Xenopus tropicalis: one gene and its partners. The protein of the gene in region 4 purifies or fractionates together with the protein of the main gene of each other region. This does not show direct contact. Links are inferred from orthologs where the notes say so. Each region holds a gene or a part of one and is shown on either strand. Other genes may lie near its edges. The genes, in order: suclg2, iscu, sdhaf1, hscb and sdhb.

Region 1 (6,197 bases), on a different chromosome or scaffold from region 4:
GATTGGTGGGACACCACTCCATTTAGCATTTGGCTATGGGCAAAACGTTGCTCGTGTTGCTATTGAAAAAGGCATTAGAATGAGATCCGTCTCCCATTCCCCCACACCCAAAAGTGAAAATGAAGCAATAAAACACCTTGCGGCGTGCCGTCCCCCCTCGGAGTAAGACTGATCCCTCTCATCTGTCCTGTTTTCCAAGAGAATCCCTTCCTTTATTCCCTCGACACGAGAGGGAAATTGATACGAGACCTTTATAAGGACATAAGGCCACATAAGCTTCTTCTTTATGTTCCCCATCATTGCTTTGGAATCCCACGTGTAAGGAGCTCGGTATTAAGGATGTGCGGCCATCGGATACTTCCACAGGCAATTACAGTGACGAGATCGGGTTATGGCTCTGTCTGATTCTGTAATTCACATGATGTAAAACTCATGCACTTGATTCTCCCAAGCCCATTTCCCAGGATTCGCTTTCAGGCAATTAATCATTTTGTCATCTACCTGCTAACCTTCTATTTTTGTCCACGAAGGCCCCGTTTGGCGGCTTACACAATTACACACCACAAAACGACCCCCGGCTTCCTTCTCGCAAGCTCTTCATTTTCTCATCGACCCATTTCTGCTTCTCTTCCATGTCCTCTTAGGAAGACTAACAAATGACAAAGGAAGTTCGGCCGGCGCATGATTTTTATGTTCCTCGCGCGCTGACCTTTCTCGGCAAGGAATATAAATGCCCGGTATATAAGTCTATTAAGTGTGACGGATTCCTTATGCCGGAGGCACAATTATAGGGATGTGATTGATTGAGGGACCCGAAAAAACAAGAGCTCCGTGAGAGGATATTTTTATTCAATAGAAAGCAGAAAAAAACCTGGAATACTTAACTCCAATATCTACATGTAAAGTAACCGCAACTAATTGTCTATAATTTCCCCATAAAGTGAATGGACACTTTGCCTTGGACTCCCAACCAACAAAAGATCTGTTTGACGGGTATAAAGAAAAGTAACAGCCCCTTGTAGAGTGTAAGCTCTTTTGGGCAGGGCTCCCTTCACCTCTTGTATCGGTTATTGGTTGCTTTATATGTTACTCCTTGTAGAGTGTAAGCTCTTTTGGGCAGGGCTCCCTTCACCTCCTGTATCGGTTATTGGTTGCTTTATATGTTACTCTGTATGTCCAATGTATGTAACCCACTTATTGTACAGCGCTGCGGGATATGTTGGCGCTTTATAAATAAATGTTAATAATAATAATTTTCCCATAAAGTGAATGGACACTTTGCCTTGGACCCCCAACCAACAAAAGATCTGTTTGACGGGTATAAAGTAAAGTAACAGCCCTCATTAAATGCAACTCCCAGCATCCCACCAACATTGAGGGTCTCTGTGTTCGGGATGAGTGGGCGTAATGTAATGTAAATACTACCCTAGAGAAATGTATTTTAGAGAAGGCCTCAGAGCTTTGGGAAGGGTTCCAACCCAAATATCATCTACAGTGAGACTGAAAATGTCTGTTTTTCCCCCAAGACACTCAGTTTGAAGTTGATTTACGTGAGGTTCGGGGGGGGGGGGGGGGTTGGGTTTACATTTATCCGCTTGTCTAGGTATCTTTTGACCTATGACAGAATGGCTGATCCAATCATCTATAACGAGCTAACACCAACCAGAAGATCAGAGAAGAAACGACACACACAAGGGACAATGGCCGCCAAGGCAATACTCATTTATTTGCTTCAAGTGTCTGTTAAAAAAGGCAAAGTTGTCACTCCTAAAAGTTTAGATGTAAAGTGGTTGACAGAAGACATTAAAAAAAATATTCCTGAAGACCAGCAGCACAGGATGGACCCAAGGTTGAGGTTTCTTGCGGAACATTAACAAAACCCATTAGAAAACAGGGAAAAGTTTGCCCCCAACTCATTAACCCATAGCAACCAATCAGCAGCTATGAAATAGAGTAATTAGTCGTGGTTGTTGGGCTTTTCCAGTCCAAACCCTACTTGGAAGGTCCAACCTTGGTCAGGGCTCCACTTAGGTCATTACATAGTCTCAAGAATATATGAGATTTGGGGTTTTCACCCCAAATCTCACACTCACTGAGCTCCTGGATGGACTCTAAAGTAACTACGAGGACCAATAGGCATTATCCCCAGATCTTTTACTAATTCCCTGCCACCACTTCTTCAGGCTCAAGGTTTGGGAACCACTGACTGAAAATAACAGTTGAACACATCTGATTGGATTGCTGTGGACAACATTTAGGGCACACCCCCTTTATTTAGGCATGACTACATGTCTTGATGGCACAGTTAGAAGATGTTAAGGCTATGGACGGAATACGGAAAAAGTAGACAATCGTTAAAAATAGAGATGTGTTTGAGACAACCTGGCCCGTCTCAGTGTAGGTTACACAGGATAGTAGCCTGTTTAATACAGTATGAGAAAGATACAAAAGTGCTCCTTGTGTAATGACTATATCCTATATACACTCCCCCCAATATTCCCATCTAAAAAGGCCAGGGCCCGCCTCCCAGGGATAGGTGGGAGGTATGTAATCATCACAACCACCAGAAACCCTGTAGCTTCCTACTCTAGCTCCCCAACAAGATGGCGGCTCTCTGGACTGGACTCCATTGGTGGCATATTGTAGAATTTCCTAATGGGTTTATAAGTTTCACCCACAGGAATAAACATTATGAAACTATTTTTGTAAATAAAATTAGAAATGAACACCCCCTTGGCACCTAGTGACCCCACAGTGCACGGAACAAGGCTATTGGCTTTCAGCACCGTATAAAACGACGTTTTTGGCTCATACACTAGAAAAACATCCGGAATTGCACGTAGAACCGACAGTTATTGTATCATTCCCCGTATAAAATTAGTGACCAATTACAGTTTAAATCAGGGATGTCCAACCATCGACATGAAGGACCTGAAGCTCCCAGTGTTAGGGGGCCCCCTGGTGGCCCACCCCCACTTTAAACAACATTAACGACACCCATAATCACTCATACTAGAAATTTAGAGATATAAACATTTGTGGGTTAAAATCAAGTACATTCATTATCAGATGTTCCGCTATTCCGATACGGAGTTTGAGTTCCTGGTAGAAACGGGCAAAGGCGGCTAATTCTTCGCTATGCTCGCCACGGCTTTTCTGGCTGCGTCGTCCAGGTCGTTGGCGGAGGTAATGGGCAGCCCGCTCTCTGCCAGGATACGCTTGGCTTCGTGGACATTTGTTCCTAGGGGAAAAAAAAAAAGGGTAAGTGATTGTTAGAACAAGTTTAATATTGAATTGCTTCCAGAAAGATGGGGTTTTTGGTTAGTCAAAGGGGGTGGGGCTTGGTAGAAGGGCAGGATATTTATGTATATAGTGGGTGTGGCTTTGGGTCTAAAGGTGTGGCTTTTGCAGGTCATGGTTAAACATGTACTGAAAAGAGCCAGACCCTGGAAGCAAGGGCTTTTAATGGAGTACTAAGGGGTCCATATTTGTGCCTTTTAGCTCTCTTCCACGCGCAGCCAGCATCTTTAAAACTACCCCTCGTCTCCTCCTTCTTCTCTTATGAGTAGGGGGGCATTGACAGCAAATGAGGAGTAAGGCAGGGGCTGTGGGCGGAGGTACTCCTTGCATTAGAGGAGGAAGTGGAGGCGGGGTTGGGGTGGGCAGGAGGCACCGTCATGGAGGAGACATGGAGTCTGGTGCACAGATTCTCGGATTAGGAGAGGGACATCACATGAAACAAGGTGAGGGAGGGGTTGGATGACTCTGCTAGCCAGGGCCGGAACTAGGGGTAGGCAGCGGCGGAGGCAATGACCGATCTAATCGCCCTGCCCCCCCTGCACCGCCTCCTGTGCTTTGGCGCGCATGCGTCGTTGGGGGGGGGGGGCGGAGTTGGCCGACTGGGTTGCCTAGGGTACCCGGTTGGCTTGGCCAACCCCTGCTGCCAGCCTACGGGAGGCGGGGAAATAGTCCCTATGTAAGGGCTCATGTAGGCCCACAAATGCAGCTGTGGTCCCTGCAATTACCCTACAGTCAGTTGTGTGCAAAATCACTTTCATTAAAGTTACTTCCATATAGCTGTGCTCATAGTAATGTAGTAAGTTAGGTTGAAAAAAAGACGTACGTCCATCACGTTCAACCATAATGCCTATATATAACCTGCCTAACTGCTAGTTGATCCAGAGGAAGGCAAAAACCCCATCTGCTCCGAGTCCCTACTACTTTTCGTTCCAAGCGCTGCGCCACCCATTGGTGCAAGCGAATCCTGGAGTTACCGCCCCTTCCTGTCCAGGTGGTAGTTCCAGGGTTCCCCTTCACGCCCAGCGTCAATAGGTGCAGCACCCTCATGCCTAAGGAATGGGGCGCAGATGTCCCTCGCATGTTGGACATCAGAAACGACGAAAGCTGACTGCAATAACGCTGGAATTCTGGGAAAAACATGGCAATTGCGTTTGCTCACTGCACCTGCAGATATAACCGCGCCCTATAGCGTTTATGCGCCACTAATTTAATCCCCACTCAATGAACATGTCACAAAGGGGGAGTGTTTTACATTTACAATGAAACTGCCCCCATCCCAAGGGGCACCCCAATAATTGATCCTTTCATCTCAAATCAAACGTTGGATTCTGCCCATTCCTCCCAGAGAGAGGGCTCATATAGAGCAAGGAGATGTCTCGCCCATATAAATCAATGGCGCGGAATCCTTTTCTCCTTGGCCCCCCATGTATCCAGATAAATAACATTTTATATTAACTATTTAAATCATTGCCTGTCTCCCCCCCCCCCCCCCCCCCCATTATGTTTGTGAAAACCACAGGTCTGTGGAGAAGATAAATGTTCCGACTGCTCTTTCCTTCCTTCCCTCGTTGGGGATTTGTCTTTCACAAGCAGCAATTAATGTCAGCCCTGTATTTATATCTTTAATTCTCATTATTACAGCGGCAGCAGCAGGACTGGGGGTGCAAAATTACCCCCCCAAATGTCATGCCGGGGGATGTTCTTATCAGGCGCCAGATGGGCAAGAGATTTGTTTGTTTATAGAAATACGACAACTACAATTGCCTTCCGTCGGCTGCGTTTGTTTGATCATATTCGGTGGCAAAAAACATATTTTAGTCTAAAATTCAATTACCAAATTTTAGAGATAATGTTGTTTTTAAAATAAGTTAGAATTAACCATAAATATATTTGCCTTTCATGCCAAACCCTATGGCCCTAAGGAAAGTCACACAGATTCTTTGCTCTCCTGAATTATCTGTAGGAAAATGCTGCTTTGGCCACTGGGTGGCATCAGAGAGCCACATAAACCCTCAGCGAGTCGCTAAACCCTCCAAGATTCAATGAGACGTGTATTTCCCAGCATGAAAGCAGAATCCGTTTAACTGTTTACAGTTCATTGCCCGGCGCGGTGCCGGTGCCTGCTGCATTAAGCAGAATTGGCCCCAAGTATACCGATAGGTGCATCTGTAGGCAGCGCAGAGTATCCACTGCCCAATGCCATACTCCCCCTAAACGAGTGGATCTTCTCCCAAATCAAAATGGCAACATAGGCGCCGTTGGACAGAGGGCTGCGTCAATGTGGTCCCCGATCTGATGGGAAAATCAAACCTGCCTGATTGAGATCTGCCCAACTTTAGGCCAGATCTCGGTTGGGTAGGCCCATATGGGGTGCACATACACGGGCAGAATCAGTCTGAAGGACGTGAATTGACTGCAGAAATCTGCCCGTGTATGGCCGCCTTTACAGCCCAAAGCTATAAAACTTTTTGGCCAGATTATAATTGTTCCAGAGGGGTCAAATAACTGCCTATGTGGACAACATAGGACACAAACTGCAAGGTCTTCCGGACTTGTGCTTCTTCCATGAATACAGTGTTGCTTACGTTCAGCCGCACTGTATTCATGAGGGACAAGCGGAGAGCCGTATGTGGGTGTCCCTTGGGGTGGCCCCAGCTTGGGCATCCTTCAAACACACAAGTGCAAATGGGGGCAGGCAGCTTTCACTGTTTGTCATAGAAACTGCCCCCAATTGTTGTTTAACTACAACCCATCCCTCTAAAGCCAAAACCTGTATATTGACAAATGCATAAGGCAAAAAGATATAAGGTATAGTTAGTAAGGGGAAAACCAGAGGAGTTGGCTCGCATGGCTCTATTATGTGGAACACAAAGCCTTAAGGCTACTAAGAGACACCA
Region 2 (6,557 bases), about 4.2 Mb from region 4:
AGGTATGGTGGCCCTACAGAATAATGAGCTGTTTCTGTAACCAAGAGGAATATGAAAAACACAAGAGAGCTACAAATCTTAGATTCAACTCTAGTTATGAAAAGCCATTTCACATTAACACTCAGCATTTACCTGTAGTTTCATGACATCACCACATGCTGGTGCTCCCACCAACCCAGTCCCAACATTCTTTGCGTTCTTGTCAAGGGATCCAACATTTCTTGGATTTTCATAATGATCAACTACCTGTGAGGAAATGCCGGTATACAATTTACTTACATAATACAAAGAAGTTTGAAAAACTTGAGGTCTAAGTACTTTTCAGCATGAGAAGGAAACACAGGTCTATCAACTGAAATGCTTGGGAGCTGGTGTGTAGGAATAGGTGGTTTTCCAAAATTTGGATCATACCGTATCTTAAAATAATACTGTCATGGGAAAACATGATTTTTTTCAAACCCATCCGTTAATAAAGCTTCTACAGCAGAATCCTGCATTGAAATCTGTTTTTCAAAAACATTCCTTTGGTGTTTGGCATTCTGCTCATGAACAGTAGAGAACATTTCACAGGTTTCCCCAGTGCACACGCATGAACAGGTATTGACGCAAAAGACACTGGTTGGAATGTAAATAAAATGCTGGCGCAGCGCTGATACCATTTTTTCCCCACAGGCCGGTGCAGTTTTCTTATAACAGGAGCACCAGCCTGGGGAAAAATAGTGATCTGTTTCACTGGAGGTGCCTAATCCACAGCTTAGAGCAGTGATCCCCAACCAGTGGCTAATGCGCAACATGTTGCTCCCCAACCCAATTTTCTATTTAGAAGTACCCAATTAGCACATACTACTAAAAAAGTATATTTTTACGAAAATGGTTTATTTAGATGAAGCAGGGTTTTACTTATGAACTTGTTTATGCAATATATTTTTATAGAGACCTACATAGTTTCCTTTAAATTGTTATTTTTTGTTAACTATTTATATGGCAAAGATTGTTTATGTATTGGTTAATGTGAACATATTTAAGTGTTTTAGAAAAGGTGAACAACCTTTTTAAGTCTACTAAAAAACTTTAAACAATAAACCCACTAGCAATGTTGTGCGACCAATATGGATTTATGCAGCTTAGTTACCGTAAAGTACATGGCATTGTTTTATTACTACTGAGAGAAAGAAAATCCTTTTTACAATTTGCTTAAAATGGAGTGTGCAGACTTTCTGGGTATTGGGTTTCCAGATACGAAATCCCATGCCAGTATACTAGTATCACTAGTCTAATTTTGTTTAAATTTTGTTTAATCAGAGTGAGAGGGAACCTAGGTTGTCATACAGCAAATGTACCTTTGGGCACAACAGAAGGTTTATATCATGCACATTGAGTACAAACATATGTACAGGGGTTTAGTCACCATTTAAATGCTGAGACAAAACAACCAAGCATCTTTAACAAGCAGTTATTTTTGCATGCAGAATGGTAATTTTCTTAACTGTCTGTTTAGAACACACATTTGAAGCATCGGCTTACACTTTGCTACAGATAGATGTATTGATATAAAACCCATGATGTCATAGCTAATGCATCAACATTTTGTAGTCATTTCCAGTTTTATCTTCTCTTAATAGACTTTCATTAGTCCTTATAGAGTCTATTAAGAAGACAATATTTCCTTTGTCCTTAGAGGTGATGTTAATTTAAACAGTTAAAAAATATGCTCTTGAGTGTAATGCAAATAATTCTGAGGCCTGTAATTACACTGGGACAGAAACACAGCAATCTGTATAAATATGGCCAAGGTTACTTGGCCATCTTCTGTGCCCTCTATGATTATGTGACAAGTGACAAATTAAAAAGAACTTGTGGTCTGAACAAGTCACAAGATGTTTACTTCTGCTGCTAATCTTGTGGCAACAAAAAGTCACACATGGTTGCAAATCTATTACAGATGCCAGGGAACAGTGCCAGAGAACAATGAAACCTACACAAACGTAAGCTTGGCCACAAAATCTGAAAAAGTCTAATTAAAGGAGAAGGAAAGGCTAAATCACTGAGGAGAGTCAAATGTTAGGCACAAGGCACCAGTGATTGTAATCACTTACGTGAAACCCCTGGCTGGTGCTCCTGTTACACAGGCAGGTGAGCGATCCTCTTCCTTCCTAACATTTTGGCACCTACCAGTGATTATAACTTTTGTTCTCCTTTAAATTATTACTAACAAAAATGAATTAGTTTAAAAAAAAAAAAAAAATCTGTACAATGTTTTTTTTTTTTTATTGCTTGCTGTGAAAAACTATGGAGTACAAATGGTACTATTCAGCATACAGAGATACTGCTGTTAATAGTGAAATGTTCTGTCACTATATTGACCCACATTTTTATGCCAGCCTTGTTTACAACGTGAATACAAACATTACATTTCTGTAAAATAAGCACCAAACCACTTTTATTGAAATGCTAGATTTAACCCTGTTTTAGGGAGCACTGCATATAATTAGTTAGATCTAGGCCTATATGGGTTAGGGCAGTGACTCCCAACCAGTGGCTCGAGAACAACATGTTGCTCACCGATCCCTTGGATGTTGCTCCCAGTGGCCTCAAAGCAGGGGTTTATTTTTTTAATTTCTGGCTTACAGACAAGTTTTGTTTTTTTTTTTGCATAAAAACTATGTGCACTGCCAAACAGAGCCTCCTGTAGTCTGCCAGTTCACATAGGGGCTACCAAATAACTAAACACAGTCCTTATTTGGTAGCTTATGTACCTTAACTTTGGTACAAAAGTTTTTGTGTAAAATTGCCATTTGCTCAGTTAGTATATAAGCTGCAAATTTAATGGAAGGCAATGAATGCTGAGCCCCTGTAAACACTTGCATCAGATTTTATCTTGTAAACAACAAACATCTGTAATATCTATAGCACAGGCATCACAGTGCTTTAGTTCTTTCAAGGAGAGTTACAAAGGTCAAAACACCTATCCTGACCCATACTTCATTCCCATTCAAAAGAATGGCAAAATCCCTATCTATACTATGTGCTGTCGTATTAACCATCAGAGCATTTTAAAAGTCATATATCTCTAAATTGTTTTAAATACTTTTAACTTTTACTAAATACCGGTGCCAGTGAATATGGGTGTTTTGGTCTTTACCAAATCACAGGATTGCCCTCATCCAGGAAAGATGTAGTTAAATATAATGTCAGGTCTGCCAATCAACTAGCAGCGAAGGAATGAAACTGACCACCCCCAAGATGAAGATTAGCTATCATGCCACAATCCAAATTGTATGTGTTGTTGACACAGGAAAGCAGCCAAAGGAAATAAAGTGGCACAAATTCTTAATGAAAACAAAAAGTAATTTAGAGATGTATAATTTGTTTTTGACAAATGTGTTTTTGCTTGCCAAAAGTGCCTTGTATGAGAAACTCACAACAGGTATTGACAGAAAGATAGCCATGCATACTTTTAATGATATTTTTTGCAAAACTGTCTATAGGGGCAGAAAAATAAGTCTGAGAATTTGGCATCACAACCACAATATTTCCTTTTCCTGAATTCTCCCGTAAATGTCCCCTCATAACCTTGAAACACTTCAGCTACCGTAGTGGTGCAGTGAATTATATTTATATATGTACATTTGATACTGACACTAAAAAACTACTCTTCAAAATACAAATGTCCACGAAAAGTTGCCTATAGGTCATGTTGCTCGTTTTTTACCGAAAGAGCTGCATTTGTGAGTAATTGTTACTTGAAGTCCTAAACCAGTTTTACCAACCTGACTGTCCCTTCTTAGCCAGTCAGTTATAGCTTGTAATTCTAACGGACAGCATGATGAATACTTTTCTGGCAAATTAATCAATAGCATGCAAAGCCTATGGTATGACAGAAGTAAAAAAAAAAAGAATACATTTTTGATGTCAGTATCTCTTATGGCAAACATGTCTTACTTAGCATAAAGTTTTACCATATTCCCTATACCCTCAGAGTGCTAGAGTCAGTCATTGTCAATTCCTATCAGTTGCTAACTCGGCTTCTCTCTTGAGACACCTTTTCTCTCAAGCCATTCGGGGAAGTGAAGCTGACAACCCCACTGGCTGCTGTTACTGTATTTCACCACAACCGAAGCTGACAGCCTTCTATTAAGAATTAAAACGACTCATGTTGTAGTCCTCTGTAAAGATGGTTACGGTGTTAAAAGATAAACGTGTCGGCTTGCATTGGCAATAAGTACTTTATAGTATGGGCTGCGAGGCGAGCGCTGTCACTGTGACACCTGTGTCACCTTATGTAACACTCGTTTCCTGCTCCCACACTACCCTGTTCCGTATTGGCCCCGTACGCCCCACGCACAGCGCTGCATACCTTCTTATGATAAGAAGCACAAGGCACCCGAAACTCGTGCACCCCACATTTTCTCCATAAGGAGCAAAACACCCGGCCCACGCCAGCCATAGCGTCCTCCACTCGCGCAGCTAGCAAATAGGGACGCGGCGTGCCAACGCCACACAACGTGCGGGTCACATGGCCTGAGGGGGCGTAACCAACAATAAAGTTTGTTGCAGCCAGGTTGCGTAATAAGGTTCAGCGTTCTATTATGTGTAACGTTGAAGTGTGGAGCTGTCATGTACTTGGGCTTTAGCTCATTCTGCAGGGATAAGTTTCTTTTGTTGCCCTATAACTTTATTAGGTTTACCAAGTTCAACCGCAAAGTCAAGGGACTCTTTATGCCTATTATCGCTAACGTGGAAGTGGAATTGATGTAGTTTACATCCAGTAGTGTAATAAAGTAGCGCGATATCGGAGTTGGTTTTGGTCAGTTTTTTATTCCAGGCTAGAAGAACCTTTGTACGTATTTGTCATAGACATGGGTGTCCGCAAAAACTGCGGGGAGGAAGAGTCATTAAGTAAAAAGCAAACTGTGTTTTACGTACGTATTAGGTTTATTAGCAAAGCCTGTAACGCTGCTCGCAACTAATAAGTGTAGAACCAGGGGGCTGTTTAAAGTGATGGCTCACCTTTTATTTCACTTTTAGTTTGTTATATAAAGGCCAATTCTATTAAACTTTTCAATTATATATTCTTAAGTCTTTATTATTTGTTTCCATAGTTTTTGAATTACAGTATTTGCCATCTTGTTCTCTTTGCAGCTTTTAAAAGGGGATCACTGACACCTGAGACAAAAAAACTATTGCTCTGTGAAGCTACAGTTTTATTGTTTAATTCTTTTCTCAAGGAGCAGGTAGCTGAGAAAAACCAAGGACAAGCTGGGCAATATGTTACATTTCAACACCGATCTGGGTCAGGTGTGTAGAATTCTAGGGGGGGGGGGGGCAAGTGGCCTTCCTTGCCTCTTTTTGCAGAGGCCTATGGCCATGGACAGTTTGTGCTGGGCCAAGTCGGCTGGGCATCCTAGGCAACCCAGCCAGCCACCTCACCCCTTTGCATGCATGCATGCATGTTGACTACTGGGGAGGTAAATGACGAGTGGGAAGTGGGAGGACAAGAGCCCAGACTAGTGACAGGTTACATTGTACCCTGGGCACATGCCTCTTCTGCCAGACCCATTTCTAGCCCTACAGAAAGTCACTATATATTGGGCTGGTGCAGGGTTGCTTGGGCCTCTATGTGCTTTAAATCAGGGGTTCCCAACCACCGGGCCGGGGACAGGTGCTGGGCTATGGGCTGTGCTGAATCGGGTCACCTCTGGTCCCACACAGCCATGACAACAGCTATGCAAAGCCCAGGAAGCTTTCTACTGATTGCTACAAGGACCAAAGTACTTAAAGGAGAAGTAAAGGCTACCAAAGAGTTAATCTCAAGCTGCAGGCTTACCTTCAGTTGTCTCAATAGTGCCCTCAAGTCTCCCCATATTGCAATCGTTCAGATGATCAGAAGCCAAACGTGAAAAAAAAACGCCGAGCTGGGTAAAGAGGATTCCCATAATGCATCGCTCCTGCACAGACCCTATAACCCAGGACACTAGGCGGCGCATGCGCATGTCTCTCTTCAGTGACACAAGCAGGCATGCTCCCCTACCATCTGAGCTGGCCCCTATGAGCGTGCACCATTAGCCGGACACAGAAGGAGCAGGCGAGTGCTGCGGGGAGCAGGGGGGGAAGTTTGGTCGCCGCAGGGACGATGCTGGGGGGAGCTGGAGGATGCGCATTTAGGTGCACAAAAGATCCAAGATGGCTGACGCTACAGAGTGCAAATAGAGCAAAGTTAAAAGGCACATTTTGGGAGAAGGGAGCATTATTTTAAAAAATAAAGTTGGCAATCTACTACAGGCAAGGGGGCTCTACAATATATTAAGGGCTATAGTAGAAGCCTTTCCTTGCTCTTTAGAGCTCCATACTAACCGGCAGGGGATGTCACCACTTAGGTAAGAGTAAGAAGAGCAAAGGGGCTGGGCGCATCTAGTTGCAGGGAAACAAGCTCAGGTCTCCCACTGATATTATATATGATTATGTATTATGATAGCTGTATTAGATTTTATAATGTAGTAATATTAATAAAATAAAGTGCATAATATAAAATGAAATAATTACATTTACATTATATA
Region 3 (4,849 bases), on a different chromosome or scaffold from region 4:
ATAATTATGTAAATGTGAGGTAAAAACTTTATATATATATATATATATAAATAATATATATTATAAAAGTAAAAACTTTAGATATAAATTGAAAATCACTGTTTTACATGTTTATAAAATGTTAATGAGGCTTTTTGCACCTATTGTTCTAGGGTCAGACAGATACTTGTCCCCTAACAATAGGCTGCTAATCCCCATTAATATGTTAACGATCCCCCAATGGGGCCCCTACCTTAGGTCTGAAATGAAGACTGGGTGAAACAAAACAGAAGATCTTAGAATTGATCTAACAATATATTATATATTATAGATACAATAGATTAGATTAGGAAAGGGAATCTATAAATTATATCCCACTGATAGGCCCTGAATCAATATATAAACAAACAACAAATATTTCAGTGAGATAAAATAACATTTAATGGCTCAAAATTAAACAAACAATTTCAAATGAAACAAACCATACTATACCAAACAATGGAAAGGTGCATCCAAGTGTCTCATGGTACCCACTCTCCTAACACGTTTCGCACCAATGGGTGCTTCATCAGAGGAGGTGTGGCATGTTAGTGTCACTTCCTTTTAATACCCCCAATATATCATTTACACAGTGTACAGGGTTAGTATCTAACCCTGTAATAAGCTCATATTATATCAGCCATTTAAAATATACATATCCAAGGGCTGCAGAAACCACCCTGTTTATATGTGAGATTGCTGTTTAATTTTGAGCCATTAAATGTTATTTTATCTCACAGAAATATTTGTTGTTTGTTCATGAATTGATCTAACAGAGTAAAGCTCTGTTTCGTACGATATTCTGTGCGTGTATGGCAAGTCAACTGATATCGCAGGAGGCTGCTATTGGTCGACTTGCCGATCGGACCGGTTAAAAGACTTAGATCGGGCTCCATAGAAGGCGCCTGAGCAAAATCTGCCGTCAGGGCTGAATTGGCAGAAGGAGGTAGAAATCCTATTGTTTCTACCTCCTTATCTGCCCTGAACGGTTAATGGCCGATTGGTCGCACAAAAGATCGGAAATCACCACGTGTGTGGCCACCTTTACACTGAGCTTTACTCCATTTTGAAAATGTTGGGAAAAAATGTTGTTTAAACGACAAATTCACAAAAGTGTCTGTAAACTGTCTTTCTTTCACCAAAAACGGAAAAGTGGCGGTTGAGTCGGAATTTATGCGGATTTCTGTTTGTGAATCTGAAAAAAAAGTGTTTTCCACCAGTTTTTTCACCACTTTTACTACAAAAAAGGTCTCTCTCCACTTTTGTGAATTCCCCCCATGTCTCTTTACTCCAATTTACTGCTAAGTTGCCACAAGGTTCAGATCTTAGTGCTCCAGCCTTTTACTTTGAGAAAGGTGGCAGTAGTGTATTTAATTGCTCATTATCAGCTCTATTCTGACATGCCCAGCTTTGCTAGCCTTAACTATTCCTCTACAATACACATGAAAAGCCATCACTAATATGCAGTTTATGGAGGCGGTCATGTTTATAAAGCACTATGAGGTTGGTACATTTGCAAACATCCTACCAAAGGAATACAGAGGCCAAGTAAGAGCAAACAACTTGTTATAAATAGTATAAATAATTTATATACAAAGAGTAGTTACATTTGTACCAATATCAAATCTTTTTTATAAGAAAACATATTAATTGTTCTGATTGGTTGGGGATCTGATGAAGGCTCCCAGTTGCTTTGTATTTGCATCCTGTAGTTGCTGCAGTTGCCGTTGCCCCCGCCGCAGAAGGTACTCTATGTGCATAACATCAGTCTTTGGAATTTTTGCATTTCTTCTGAATTCATCTCTGATTCTGGGTACAAACCCAGGTTTCTCTTTGCCGGCTTGTAAAAACTGTCTGTAAAGACTCAGAATCTGCTTTTGTAGTTTGCTGTGTCTAACCATTGTGCCTCCTCACATCTATGTTAGCTTAAAAGTTCAAGTTTAAAGACATTAGTATAATTTTCTACTGTAAAAATATTTCCCTTGCAAGCGACTGATTCATATATGAGGGAAGCGCTGTGTTGCCTTGAGCAGATGATTTGTTTCCTTCTTCAGGCATCTTGGTCCAGGGAACCTCTACAAAACAAGATGGAATTCATGATTTATATACCACAGCAATGAGTAAGTACAGGACACATTATAAAGGCCAATAAACCTCTCCACGTTATCTGTGCAAAGGGTTAATTAGTATAACTCTTGCAACTACAGCCTCCTACCCACTGTGTCATCCAGCCACACATTGGCTGGATGAGGATTGGCCAGGTCTGATTTTCCGTTTGGATCAAGGTATTGACAGGTACACAGTGCACTGATGTGGTCCATAATCCAATTGCCTGCATAGCGGCAAATATGATATGTGGGCATATTGGGAAAAAGATCATCCTATATAGAGACAACCTTCTGCCCTGGCCATTGCATCCCTAACCAGGGTTGCCAGGTTGGCAGTTTTTCCACCAAATTAGGCTACTAATTTAAAGCCCTGGTACAACCCCACCAAGGTACAGTTTTGGAGCCTTGGCACATTTGTACTTTGGAAACTAGCCAAAGTTTTTTCCCCTAGTATGCTTGTTCCACTGCATGCCGGGTAATGTAGTTTGTATCTAACAATTAGCCTACAGCTAGGATTAATATATATCTACAATACCCAGAATGCAATTGGACAGTATAGACAGAGGCTCCGTTTTGTATTCCTTTGTGCTCTTTCAGGCTCAACCTGTATGTTCTACACCCTGATCTTTAGGGTATGTGGTTGTTACCGTTACTTTCTACTGGGATGTGGGGCAGTTCTACCCCCTGCTCCCTGCTCTATAGGGTATGTGATTGTACTGTTACTTTCTACTGGGATGTGGGGCAGTTCTACCCCCTGCTCTATAGGGTATGTGATTGTACTGTTACTTTCTACTGGGATGTGGGGCAGTTTTACCCCCTGCTCCCTGCTCTATAGGGTATGTGATTGTACTGTTACTTTCTACTGGGATGTGGGGCAGTTCTACCCCCTGCTCCCTGCTCTATAGGGTATGTGATTGTACTGTTACTTTCTACTGGGATGTGGGGCAGTTCTACCCCCTGCTCTATAGGGTATGTGATTGTACTGTTACTTTCTACTGGGATGTGGGGCAGTTCTACCCCCTGCTTCCTGCTCTATAGGGTATGTGATTGTACTGTTACTTTCTACTGGGATTTGGGGCAGTTCTACCCCCTGCTCCCTGCTCTATAGGGTATGTGATTGTACTGTTACTTTCTACTGGGATGTGGGGCAGTTCTACCCCCTGCTCCCTGCTCTATAGGGTATGTGATTGTACTGTTACTTTCTACTGGGATGTGGGGCAGTTCTACCCCCAGCTCTATAGGGTATGTGATTGTACTGTTACTTTCTACTGGGATGTGGGGGCAGTTCTACACCCTGCTCTATAGGGTATGTGATTGTACTGTTACTTTCTACTGGGATGTGGGGCAGTTCTACCCCCTGCTCCCTGCTCTATAGGGTATGTGATTGTACTGTTACTTTCTACTGGGATGTGGGGCAGTTCTACCCCCTGCTCTATAGGGTATGTGATTGTACTGTTACTTTCTACTGGGATGTGGGGCAGTTCTACCCCCTGCTCCCTGCTCTATAGGGTATGTGATTGTACCATTACTTTCTACTGGGATGTGGGGCAGTTCTACCCCCTGCTCCCTGCTCTATAGGGTATGTGATTGTACTGTTACTTTCTACTGGGATGTGGGGCAGTTCTACCCCCTGCTCCCTGCTCTATAGGGTATGTGATTGTACTGTTACTTTCTACTGGGATGTGGGAACAGTTGTGCAGTTGATCATTAAATGAGAAGGAAAGGCCAATAAAGAGTTAATCTCAAGCTGCAGGCATACCTTCAGTTGTCTCAATAGTGCCCTTAAGTCTCCCCATATTTCACTTGTTCAGAAGTTCAGAAGCCAAACAGGTAGAAAAAACGCTGAGCAGGGTAGAGAAGATTCCCATAATGCAACGCTCTTCCCCTGACTTCATGACTTAGACTGTAGGAGGCGCATGCGCACACAGCAGGAGCGCTCCCCCTAGCAGAACGTGTAAGGCTAATGCCACACGAGGCGTAGGGCTGAAATTTTCGGCAAGCGGAAAAACGCTTGCCGAAAACTCAGCCCCAACGCCTGCTACTTGTGCCTGCACCCGAATGAAAGGGATACGCTCGGGTGCAGGCACATGTAGCCGATATACGCATGAAAACGCGAGAGTTTGCATTCTTGCGCGTTTTCATGTGTATATCGGCTACATGTGCCTGCACCCGAGCGTATGTGGCATTAGCCTAACATCTTGTTTCCTACATCTCAGTAGAATGTACCTTACTGTGTATTCCCTACATTATGCCCTGCCATTAAGCACAGCTCGTTTAATCAATATGTCATACTGTCCTGTAACCAGGCCCGGATTTGTGGCGAGGCCACAACGGCCTGGGCCTAGGGCGGCAAACATTTAGGGGCGGCATGCCTCCCCGCCGCACCGGAGTTCTGCTCCCATACAGAGCAGCGGGGACCTCTCCCAGCTGCTCCGTATGTGTTCATATCGGCGCCCGCATAAATGCGCATGCGTGCGCTGGGGGGGGTTGGGGGGTAAGTTGCGCATGCGCAGTGCGCTGGGTGAGTTGCAAACACGCATGCGCAGGGGGTGGCTGAGCGGGGTGGCCTCCGGGCGCTCGGATTTGAAATCCGGCGCTGCCTGTAACACAGCTATAGCTCATTACTTTCCCCAGGCACTCAGAGAGTTAAAAGCAAGGCATGAGTGCCGTTACATCACTGGGGACTTGCCGGAGGGAGGAGCAGCACAAGTTGAATTGGCCAT
Region 4 (5,251 bases):
TGGTTTGCTGTATTGTAGTTGCCCTCACTGATGATATTTTACCCAAAATGTGGCCATCCGCTGCAAATAAGCGTGTGTTGGGCAGGTGACATTGTACATGCACCTAAACACAGGGACCCCCTAAAGATTTTTTTTTTGTGAGGAGACTGGTCACTTGTAGTCACACCACTGACTATAAAGTTATAGTAATGACTAACATGCAGTTAAATATACCATGTCAAAACTAGCATGCAAACGATCACAGGACTCATGGTAACTGGTCAAGAGCAAACACAAAGGGGCATGTTTATCAGAATTGTGTAAATGTGTTTGTGTAATTTTAGAGGTTTTTCAACCTTGACTAAACTCACATTTTTAAAAAGTACGAATGTGTCCTTATTTATTAAAAAAAAAAAAAATCAGTATATAAAAAACACCAATAAATAGAAAAGGGAAATGAAAAAAATATGAATGTTGACAAATCTGCCCCTTACTGCCAATAAATCAATATACCTGTATGTATCCAGACAACAGTTGAATTACTGTTTGTATTCTTTGTTTGAATTTGCCATTTCTGGGAAAGCAAATTCTATTTTCAGTCATTCATGATATCTGCAAACATTAAAAGATCAACTAAAAAATGTACCTTGCTGGAAAGCTTTTCTCAAATCCTTTGTCAATGACACCAACTGTTCTGTGAAAAACATAATTCTGGTCATTAGCAACATTTTTCACAGAACAAATACTATGCATATCTTGTATACGGTAAAAAATTTACCATATATTCAACTGTAAAGGTAGTCTACTGGCTTTTCCATGAAAATTAAAGCATTTGAAGCAAAATGGTGAAGCATAAGTTCCTGCTGTGATAAATGAGCTTTAGGGAAACACTCAATAGGCTTAACAAGTGCTGAACAAAAGCCCTTTACCACAGGAATGAGCTTCAGCCAGAGCAAATTTAGTCTGTAGCTGGCCTCAGATCACTTATGCTTGGCGAGTTCCCCCCTAAGATAAATGGGCACTGGTTGTAGGTTTCAGGCTTTATTTAAACAAACAAAAAGAGCAATGCAAATACATTGGTTGGAGATTTTAGTTATAAAAAGTGTAATTCATAGCCAAATAATATATGTAGGCCCCCTACTGGCAAGCAGCAATAATCTGCCAAACAGGTAGGCGTAAACTGGGTCTGATTATTTCTTTATTTGAACAAACTCTTAAAGCAGATGTTAACAATGCAGGGGATTGCAGCCCGAATCTGAGGTGTGAACATTGCAGGGGGGCAGTTAAGCTCAGTACTGATGCTATTTACACAAAGGTAAGCAGTCACACCAGCTAGACAGATGGGGGGCCACGCTCTTGAGTTTTGCCTTCACTGTTAAGGTCAAGTGAAACATTTATCCAGGCTGATGTAATCTAACTGAAGATCAACAGTTTGAAATATACACATAAAAGAAAAAAAGGAATAGCTGGCTCAGGCCAATTCTAAAGTTCTGAAGAGGAGTAAGGCTCTTGTGTTAAGTAACTGTTCTAATAAAAATGTTAAAAAAACTTCTGTAACTTCTGGGTCAAGACAGAAAAATGAGTCCTATAAGAATAAGAAGCAAATATTGAATAAGGAGCCAGCCTTTACCTTGTACAAAATGTCCAACTTCTTCAATGTCATCCTTAGTTTCTGCATCATTTAGTTGTTCATTAAGCTCTAATATATCAAAGAGAAATTGTGTATCCACTTCATCGTCCGCTCCTTCCTTTAATGTTATGCCATTCAGACTTAGCTTTGGGAAATAAATAAACATGCAAGGTTCACATTTTTGGAGCTCCAATTTATCTTCAGCAATGTATAGATCCCACTATAATATAAAGCAAGTCAACAGCTAAAGAAGATACCAGAAGGTACTGTCATTTATTACAGCAAAGTCACCCCTCTGCTTTAAAGTGAAGCAAATACATGGATTAATCTAAGAATACATTCAAAGCAACATTAGGTAGCTGAAATACTTCTTTCCATATTAGGGAGCAAGAAGCATAGAAGTTTCCTTAACCAGCCATGCAAGATGGGCTTGTTAAAGGGTAAGTGACCCCAATTAAAATCAAAGTTGTCCTTCAGAACACTTTTGCAGTTTACATTATTTTTTTTCTTTCTTTAGTTTTCATATAAGACTTTTTTTTTTTAATTACAAAGTTTTACATGAGATTTGTTAATTAAGCTTTGTTAATTGACTACTGGTTAGTACATACCCACAACAAGTAGTAGTTAAAGGTAAAGGTAGGTAAATGCTTAAATATTGGAAAAAAAAATACAATTTATATATATATATATATATATATATATATATATATATATATATATATATATATATATATATATATATTAAGTTTACCAAATATACTCCTCGCTTTAAAGGTGATAGAAGGGTTTTGTAAGCTTTGTTAACCACTGTTGACTGCTTTTCTGATATGTTCCGTTCACTCTAAAAAAAAAGAATAAAATGTGTATATAAATTCCATGCCCACTTTTTATAATGATTTTCAAATTATACTGTAATTAAAAACAAATCAATTAAAAATCTTAAAAGGAGGTATGTTTGAAGACTATCATCCATCATCAGTGTCTATTTAGGTTACAAAATACTGTGGTTTTCTTATTCAGAATTGACATTGGGAAACAAGCCTGTAGATTTTCTGTAAACATTTTCATATATCTTTATGTCCAAAAAAGGATTTTTGACAATAGAGCTTGTAAACAAAAATTGCTATTTTTCTTTAAATTATAAATTAGAGCTGGGCGGTATGACCAAAAATTTATATCACGGTATTTTTCAAAATTATATCGGTGTCACGGTATTTGACGGTATTATTTTTTCCATGCATGATTAGGTGTTAACCCCATTTCCTAATAAATTAGAGAATAATTACTGCAGTATTGAAAGGCAAGCGGCAACAGAAAGTCGTAAGGTAAATCAGGCAGGCTTAGTTTCCCAGACAAGGCCGCAGACAACATAGCACAGGAGGAGGCGTTTGATAGCTTTAAATTCCCCCCACGCATGCGCAGAACCGGCGCCGTCAGCGCGTCGCGGACGTGCACGCTTTGACATGTACGTGCGCTTTGACGCGCGTGCACCTGGACACGCGTGCGCAACGTCCCGTGGACAACGGGACGCACGAGACCGGGCCGCACGCGTGAGTACCCTGACACCCCGGTATGGCGGTATCTGAAAAATGAATATAGTTTTTAAAAAAAAACACCGGTATTCGGTATTAAACGGTATATAGCCCAGCCCTAAAAGAAGTCAGCACTTATCAGAGGGTTCAGTGCTGTTCTTCACAGTTCACAGTTTCGAGCAGAGCAAGCAGCGCCAACTCATGGATTATTTAAATGAAGAATAAAGGAATATAAGCATAAGCAATTCTAGCACTGCTCTGGCTCGTTCCTGTTACCTGCTGCCAATCTTTGCAAAGAAGTAGTGGAGGTGGGGTTGGCGACCCCTCTCCTCCACTCTCCTCCAGACAGCTTAGGACCCAACCTCAGGTTAGCTTTAGCTTCTTTTTTAAATTTAAAGAAACCTATCAATTTCTGTTAATTATCGAAACACAGTTCTTATTTTGGCAATAGGAACTTGCTGAACAGCAAACAACTTGTTTACCTCTGACTTCTGGCTGAAGAAATCTGGATGAAGCAAACGCTGAAGATTGCGGTATTTTCTTTGCAGTTCCTGAGTGTCAACATTAAATGATTTTTCACTGTAAAGACAAATCAAAAACACAAGACATTACTATCTGCAATGAACAGTTACAAAATAGTCCCGAAAACAAATGATTGATGAGTGGTACTGTATAAAAAGTTTCAATTGTAAAACACTGGTAAGGTGGGTTTGTAATTATGTCCACTCCAACTTACACCTTTTTTCTTTCAAGAAATTATACCCTGGGAGGTAGCAATGCAACTTATCAAATTTAATGACAAGCATATATTTCTTCAATTTAGTCTCTGGGCTCAGACAACGGACATGGATTGAGTTAAAGGGGTGGTCCACCTTTACATTAACTTTTAGTATGTTTTAGAGTGTCCTATTTCTAGCAACTTTGCAATTTGTCTTCATTATATATTTTGTATAGTTTTTGTTGCACTTGCTTTCCTCTTCTACACCTTTGTAACATTTAAATGGGGGTCACAGACCCTGCCAGCTGAAAAACGAATCCTCTGCTAGCTCACAGTTTTATTATTATTGTTATTTTTTTTTTCCTTAACTTTCTATTCAAGCCCTCTCCTTCCCATTTCTGTTTCTCATTTAATCCACTGCCTGGTTGTTAAGGTAAACAAGCCACTAGCAACCAGTAACTTAAAACCAGTTGCAAATTGTCTCAAAATATCAATGTTTATGTCATACTAAAAGTTAATGTTAAGGTGGACAGCTCCTTTAAACATAATCAATGGCAATCAACGACTGTCACAAGAGCAGGATTATCAGATGAAAGGTCATCTACATGTACATCTATATCTGGTGTCCCTTGATGAAAAATAAAGCAACAGTCCAGGGAGTTTCTACAGCAGTGCTGGAATCTTACATACTGGTACCTCCCAGTGAAGAAAGGGTTTCCACTCATGACACAGAGTCTGTGCCTAGAAAGTAGCAGTAGTTTGGGAGCTGTGGCTTCCTCGCATCAACAGACTAAAGGTGGCCATACACTGGCTGATTGTAGCTGCCGATATCGGTCCCTTAGACCGATTCGGCAGCTTATCGGCCCGTGTAGGGGCAGCAACGACGGGCATGCCTGACCAATTTCTGCCCTGAATTTGGCCAGATATCAATCGGGCAGGTTAAAAGATTTAGTCCGATTGGGGATCACATTGACTCGTTGATGCAGTCCCCGAACCGACTTTGCCTATACCCGTCGTTATAATTCAGTAGTTTGGGCCCAGGGTTAAATGACCGAATTAGCCTAAATTTGCCCAATATCCCCCAGCCGTAGGCGGGGAAATCGGGAGAAGACCCGGATCTTAACATGTATGGCCACCTTTAGTATTCAAACTTGTCTAACAGATGAATCAGCTGATACACAAAGCACATAGATATTGGTTGAATCCACTGGGTCCCCACACACATACAAATAGTTGTCCAAAACTTAATTTTATTCCACTTCTCAGAGATTCTTTATGCAAGTTATAGTACATAAAAGGTTCAATGGTGCCCTGAAAAATGCCCACTTAATAAACATCCCTGATGCTAATTTAAGATTTTTTTCGTGCTTTAGAGTTACTGGGTCTTTCAAA
Region 5 (6,699 bases), on a different chromosome or scaffold from region 4:
CTGAAACAAAACCATATTCTTATGGATGTGCGCCACCTCTATGCTTATTACTTAATCATCAACTGCACCCCCAGGAGCCCCCCCCTGTATTCAGGCTCTTTGTTATTACAGTAATGGGTATGTAATCCCCAGCACTGGCCTACAGATCATGCATCATTCCCATCAGTCCCTGCCCCAGTGAGCTTACACTCTAAGGTCCCTATCCCATTCCCATCAGCCCCTGCCCCAGTGAGCTTACAATCTAAGGTCCCTATCCCATTCCCATCAGTCCCTGCCCCAGTGAGCTTACAATCTAAGGTCCCTATCCCATTCCCATCAGTCCCTGCCCCAGTGAGCTTACAATCTAAGGTCCCTATCCCATTCCCATCAGTCCCTGCCCCAGTGAGCTTACAATCTAAGGTCCCTATCACATTCCCATCAGCCCCTGCCCCAGTGAGCTTACAATCTAAGGTCCCTATCACATTCCCATCAGTCCCTGCCCCAGTGAGCTTACAATCTAAGGTCCCTATCCCATTCCCATCAGCCCCTGCCCCAGTGAGCTTACAATCTAAGGTCCCTATCCCATTCCCATCAGTCCCTGCCCCAGTGAGCTTACAATCTAAGGTCCCTATCCCATTCCCATCAGCCCCTGCCCCAGTGAGCTTACAATCTAAGGTCCCTATCACATTCCCATCAGCCCCTGCCCCAGTGAGCTTACAATCTAAGGTTCCTATCACATTCCCATCAGTCCCTGCCCCAGTGAGCTTACAATCTAAGGTCCCTATCCCATTCCCATCAGCCCCTGCCCCAGTGAGCTTACACTCTAAGGTTCCTATCACATTCCCATCAGTCCCTGCCCCAGTGAGCTTACAATCTAAGGTCCCTATCCCATTCCCATCAGCCCCTGCCCCAGTGAGCTTACAATCTGAGGTCCCTATCACATTCACGGTTCTGTAGGACCCCACACAATCTCATGCAGTTGGTCACATGATCACATAAAATCTGACCCACATAATCTGATGAAATGTTTAGCCCTAAGTCATCAGGGCAGGCAGGGCAAAAAGCTGAGCTCTGATTGGCTCACGGCTGCCTACACACCTCCCCTGAGCACCAACCACACTAGAGAGCAGTTCCCAGCACGGCGGCGGCTGCATTTTGGTTCTGATCCCATTCTGTCATTTAGATCTCGTTAGGGATCACCGGGATGTACTAACAGTATTGGGTCTGGGCCGTGTCTGCTAAATGCTGCGCTCTATAGGCCGGGGGGATTTATAGCAGCACCTGCCTCCTATTGGTGGAAAGTACATGTTTTATTGTACTGATTATTATTATCAATGAGTGATATTAATAGGGAATGGTGCATGATGGGATTTCTCTGATAATAAAGGTCAGTGGGAAAGTAAATGCACCGAGGAGTAAAGGAAAATAACACCCAGGAAGGGCAAAGTCCCCTGAGCGCAATGGTTTATTCCTGTGGGTAATTACCCGCCCTAAATACCCAGTGGCACTTACTCACTGAACTACAGGTATTGGCCGGAGGGACTAAAAGTGACCAAATAGCACTGTGGGCCCCAGGGTGGGGGGAGGGTTGAAAGACTCACCCTTTGCCCCATCCCGTTAGGGGCTGTCAGGCCAGAAGAACTGATTGGCTGAGGACTCGCTCTGGCTCTGGGGGGCCCCAGAAATAACATGGCACCTTTTGGTATTGGAAGGGGGCCTCCTATGATGGGGCCACAGTCAAGGTCACTGAGCTCCTCCCTTTGCTGCCGGAGACCATGTGACCCTGTGCCTAATTACTGAAGGAGCCAATAGCAGCACAGGTACTCTGGGTTACATACCGGGCCCAGCGGCTACTTACAGTATCAGGGAGAACTTCCTTTCTGGCCCATTGAGCTCTAAGAGACGAACCTTCCCACATGGGGCCCCCCCAATAGCCCCTTCTGCCCCTGGTTACCATGGTTTCATTCAGTTTTACCCCCTTCCCCAGGATCAGAGTACATAGGGACTGGGGGCTGGGGCAATGGGACAGCAACATGAGATGGAACTGGGGCCCCTAGGGGCCAATACTGGGCACTGACAGAGGCTACACAGAACCTGGGGGGGGCCCTATGCACTGACAGCAACATGAGAGGGAACTGGGGCCCCTAGGGGCCAATACTGGGCACTGACAGAGGCTACACAGAACCTGGGGGGGGCCCTATGCACTGACAGCAACATGAGAGGGAACTGGGGCCCCTGGGGGCCAATACTGGGCACTGACAGAGGCTACACAGAACCTGGGGGGGGGGCCCTATGCACTGACAGCAACATGAGAGGGAACTGGGGCCCCTAGGGGCCAATACTGGGCACTGACAGAGGCTACACAGAACCTGGGGGGGGGGCCCTATGCACTGACAGCAACATGAGAGGGAACTGGGGCCCCTAGGGGCCAATACTGGGCACTGACAGAGGCCACACAGAACCTGGGGGGGGGGCCCTATGCACTGACAGCAACATGAGAGGGAACTGGGGCCCCTAGGGGCCAATACTGGGCACTGACAGAGGCTACACAGAACCTGGGGGGGGCCCTATGCACTGACAGCAACATGAGAGGGAACTGGGGCCCCTGGGGGCCAATACTGGGCACTGACAGAGGCTACACAGAACCTGGGGGGGGGCCCTATGCACTGACAGCAACATGAGATGGAACTGGGGCCCCTGGGGCCAATACTGGGCACTGACAGAGGCTACACAGAACCTGGGGGGGGGGCCCTATGCACTGACAGCAACATGAGATGGAACTGGGGCCCCTGGGGGCCAATACTGGGCACTGACAGAGGCTACACAGAACCTGGGGGGGGCCCTATGCACTGACAGCAACATGAGAGGGAACTGGGGCCCCTAGGGGCCAATACTGGGCACTGACAGAGGCTACACAGAACCTGGGGGGGGCCCTATGCACTGACAGCAACATGAGAGGGAACTGGGGCCCCTGGGGGCCAATACTGGGCACTGACAGAGGCTACACAGAACCTGGGGGGGGGGCCCTATGCACTGACAGCAACATGAGAGGGAACTGGGGCCCCTAGGGGCCAATACTGGGCACTGACAGAGGCTACACAGAACCTGGGGGGGCCCTATGCACTGACAGCAACATGAGAGGGAACTGGGGCCCCTGGGGGCCAATACTGGGCACTGACAGAGGCTACACAGAACCTGGGGGGGGGGCCCTATGCACTGACAGCAACATGAGAGGGAACTGGGGCCCCTAGGGGCCAATACTGGGCACTGACAGAGGCTACACAGAACCTGGGGGGGGCCCTATGCACTGACAGCAACATGAGAGGGAACTGGGGCCCCTGGGGGCCAATACTGGGCACTGACAGAGGCTACACAGAACCTGGGGGGGGGGCCCTATGCACTGACAGCAACATGAGAGGGAACTGGGGCCCCTAGGGGCCAATACTGGGCACTGACAGAGGCTACACAGAACCTGGGGGGGCCCTATGCACTGACAGCAACATGAGAGGGAACTGGGGCCCCTAGGGGCCAATACTGGGCACTGACAGAGGCTACACAGAACCTGGGGGGGGGGCCCTATGCACTGACAGCAACATGAGAGGGAACTGGGGCCCCTGGGGGCCAATACTGGGCACTGACAGAGGCTACACAGAACCTGGGGGGGGGGCCCTATGCACTGACAGCAACATGAGAGGGAACTGGGGCCCCTAGGGGCCAATACTGGGCACTGACAGAGGCTACACAGAACCTGGGGGGGGCCCTATGCACTGACAGCAACATGAGAGGGAACTGGGGCCCCTAGGGGCCAATACTGGGCAGAGGCATAAGCTGCAGTTGAATGGACAGACATGACACCGGGACAGACAGCCCCACGGTCACTGCTCCCACTCCCGACCCGGCTCTGACCTGCAGGACTCCCGGTAACCGGAACACCGGCCCGCTACGTCTCAAGGAGAACACGACCGCCGCCATATTTCCTCTGACACCAGTAACTCCGCCAGCCTCCCACAATGCAGCGCGGCGGGGCTATAACCATAGAGAGGCGTTACTTTCCCGCTCAGAGAGAGGGAGCTCGGGGCTAGAGCGTCCGTTTTCCTTTTCTCTCAGCTCTATGGGGGGATGGGGCGCTCTAGCCCGGATCCGCGATCTCTATGGTTTACTCACAAATAAAAGTGGGCGGTGTTTCATGGTCATGTGATGTTGAGTAACTGGTTGTGTAATTCCCTCTCGCTAGTCGCTATAGCAACGTCTCATCGATTTAGTGCGCAATATTACTATAAATGCCCCTGGGGTAATTGTTGTACCAATAAGGCCATGGTGGGTGAGGGGAAGAGACCTTTTAAAGGGTAAGTAAAGCCTCAGCAAAAGCAATAAAGGACAAGTGGGAGGAGCCAAACTGTCCCTGTGGGCGGGGCACTAACAGCATGCATAGAGTGGCCCTGCCCCCCAAATTCACTGGCTGAGCTGCAGATATAAAAGGTCGCCCCCTGTTATTAGCTATTATTGGGGGAAGGACAGACAGGGGCATCTATTGGATAAGGGCAGCGCCTCAGTCAGGAAATGGTTAAAGGTTATTGCCCCTCTGAGTCTCCGACTCCTGTCTCTGCCGCAGCGTGAGGGGCAACTCTGCCCATGTCCAGCAGATGGCAGCAAAGTGTAAGGAAATTAAAGGAGATATAAAACCTAATGAAAGTATAAATCTGAGCAACTCCCCAATATCCATTCATCCCTCATTCTCTGTGTCTGTCCCTTTCCCTTCCCTGCACTGCTGGTTCTGACTCCTGATACAACTCCCCAATACCCATTCATTCCTCATTCTCACTGGGTTTATAGTTATGTGTAACTGTCACTGTGTCTGTCCCTTTCCCTTCCCTGCACTGCTGGTTCTGACTCCTGATACAACTCCCCAATACCCATTCATCCCTCATTCTCACTGGGTTTATAGTTATGTGTAACTGTCATGGTTCCTGCCTGACCATGGGAAAGAGAGCAGCCCAGGAGCAGGAAGTACAGAGAATCAGAGCTCTGTACCTGGGTAAGTACTGGGGGGAGATTGGATTCACTTACCCAGGGGGGAGGTTCCTGCCTGACCATGGGAAAGAGAGCAGCCCAGGAGCAGGAAGTACAGAGAATCAGAGCTCTGTACCTGGGTAAGTACTGGGGGGAGATTGGATTCACTTACCCAGGGGGAGGTTCCTGCCTGACCATGGGAAAGAGAGCAGCCCAGGAGCAGGAAGTACAGAGAATCAGAGCTCTGTACCTGGGTAAGTACTGGGGGGAGATTGGATTCACTTACCCAGGGGGAGGTTCCTGCCTGACCATGGGAAAGAGAGCAGCCCAGGAGCAGGAAGTACAGAGAATCAGAGCTCTGTACCTGGGTAAGTACTGGGGGGAGATTGGATTCACTTACCCAGGGGGGGTTCCTGCCTGACCATGGGAAAGAGAGCAGCCCAGGAGCAGGAAGTACAGAGAATCAGAGCTCTGTACCTGGGTAAGTACTGGGGGGAGATTGGATTCACTTACCCAGGGGGAGGTACCTGCCTGACCATGGGAAAGAGAGCAGCCCAGGAGCAGGAAGTACAGAGAATCAGAGCTCTGTACCTGGGTAAGTACTGGGGGGAGATTGGATTCACTTACCCAGGGGGGGGTTCCTGCCTGACCATGGGAAAGAGAGCAGCCCAGGAGCAGGAAGTACAGAGAATCAGAGCTCTGTACCTGGGTAAGTACTGGGGGGAGATTGGATTCACTTACCCAGGGGGTTCCTGCCTGACCATGGGAAAGAGAGCAGCCCAGGAGCAGGAAGTACAGAGAATCAGAGCTCTGTACCTGGGTAAGTACTGGGGGGAGATTGGATTCACTTACCCAGGGGGAGGTTCCTGGGGGCACCAGACACTGTGGGGCAGGACCCACCCGCTGGGGGTATATAGGGGGTAACTGGGCAGACTCAGCAGGAAATTAAAGGCACAGAACGTAACACAATGGAAGTTTTATTACAGAAAACAAACAGAACTTGTTCCTGGAATAACGAGTTAGTAAAGGAAATGACAATCATTGGTTACTGAGGCACCATGGGAATAGGGGCGGAGCTAAGTGGGGCACTCGTCCTGCACTATATCCCTCCAATAAGGTTACACTGATTAACTGGGCACTTACAGAAGCAGGGCAGTAACCATGGCAACCAATCTGCAGTTGTCTCCACCTCCTGCCCATTAGTCCTATGAAGCAGACATCTGATTGGTTGCCATGAATCACAGCCTATTGTCTTATTGGTTCTGAGCCCGGCTTCCTCCGTGAGTGATTTGCCCTCAGGGGTTGCAGGGAGTTGTACAGACTGGGGGGGGGGGGGGTGTATAGGAGAATGAGGCCCAGCCCCCTGTCTCTCTTCCCATTGGTTGATTATTATAGGCTAAAATATATAGAGAGGCGGCACCGGGGAGGAGGAGTCTCGGGCCAAGGTCCCTTTAAGGCACAAACTGGTCGATCCCTGACTGGGAAACACTGTGTGACCCTATCAGTAGGGGGCGCCCCCATGCCTACTGGAGCCATTGTGCCCAGATACAGGTCCCCTGCTGGGTCCGGCTCTTACGGCTCCTCCATCCGCCACCACTGGAACGGGAACGGCTTCCGACGCACGTTTGTGCCGCAATGCACCTCCCCCAACTTCTTGTGGTACGAGGTAAAGTCCTCGATAAACGTGCAGTTCAACTCGAACGGCTTCAT

Evidence for each region.
Region 1: the proteins of hscb (region 4) and suclg2 purify together in Homo sapiens (affinity purification with mass spectrometry; 3 studies listed by BioGRID and IntAct, with this or other methods). This does not show direct contact. The link is inferred for Xenopus tropicalis from reciprocal best matches to the Homo sapiens genes HSCB and SUCLG2.
Region 2: the proteins of hscb (region 4) and iscu purify together in Homo sapiens (affinity purification with western blotting; 3 studies listed by BioGRID and IntAct, with this or other methods). This does not show direct contact. The link is inferred for Xenopus tropicalis from reciprocal best matches to the Homo sapiens genes HSCB and ISCU.
Region 3: the proteins of hscb (region 4) and sdhaf1 purify together in Homo sapiens (co-immunoprecipitation; 3 studies listed by BioGRID and IntAct, with this or other methods). This does not show direct contact. The link is inferred for Xenopus tropicalis from reciprocal best matches to the Homo sapiens genes HSCB and SDHAF1.
Region 5: the proteins of hscb (region 4) and sdhb purify together in Homo sapiens (co-immunoprecipitation; 3 studies listed by BioGRID and IntAct, with this or other methods). This does not show direct contact. The link is inferred for Xenopus tropicalis from reciprocal best matches to the Homo sapiens genes HSCB and SDHB.

What each region holds. Positions count from the first base shown.
Region 1 is NC_030680.2:143,113,612-143,119,808, reverse strand, and holds the end of suclg2 (succinate--CoA ligase [GDP-forming] subunit beta, mitochondrial), read right to left. Parts: intron 3,242-6,197; coding exon 3,126-3,241; 3' UTR 1,697-3,125; downstream 1-1,696. UniProt on the Homo sapiens protein: GTP-specific succinyl-CoA synthetase functions in the citric acid cycle (TCA), coupling the hydrolysis of succinyl-CoA to the synthesis of GTP and thus represents the only step of substrate-level phosphorylation in the TCA.
Region 2 is NC_030677.2:146,312,715-146,319,271, reverse strand, and holds the start of iscu (iron-sulfur cluster assembly enzyme ISCU, mitochondrial), read right to left. Parts: upstream 4,477-6,557; 5' UTR 4,448-4,476; coding exon 4,358-4,447; intron 247-4,357; coding exon 133-246; intron 1-132.
Region 3 is NC_030684.2:131,182,129-131,186,977, reverse strand, and holds sdhaf1 (succinate dehydrogenase assembly factor 1, mitochondrial), read right to left. Parts: upstream 2,008-4,849; 5' UTR 1,920-2,007; coding exon 1,665-1,919; 3' UTR 1,568-1,664; downstream 1-1,567.
Region 4 is NC_030677.2:150,463,641-150,468,891, reverse strand, and holds part of hscb (iron-sulfur cluster co-chaperone protein HscB, mitochondrial), read right to left. Parts: intron 3,721-5,251; coding exon 3,624-3,720; intron 2,451-3,623; coding exon 2,361-2,450; intron 1,755-2,360; coding exon 1,610-1,754; intron 674-1,609; coding exon 626-673; intron 1-625.
Region 5 is NC_030683.2:131,924,515-131,931,213, forward strand, and holds the start of sdhb (succinate dehydrogenase [ubiquinone] iron-sulfur subunit, mitochondrial precursor), read right to left. Parts: upstream 4,033-6,699; 5' UTR 3,953-4,032; exon of another isoform or gene 3,952-3,952; coding exon 3,886-3,951; intron 1-3,885. Other genes in the region: padi2 (protein-arginine deiminase type-2), read right to left, coding at 6,562-6,699. UniProt on the Homo sapiens protein: Iron-sulfur protein (IP) subunit of the succinate dehydrogenase complex (mitochondrial respiratory chain complex II), responsible for transferring electrons from succinate to ubiquinone (coenzyme Q).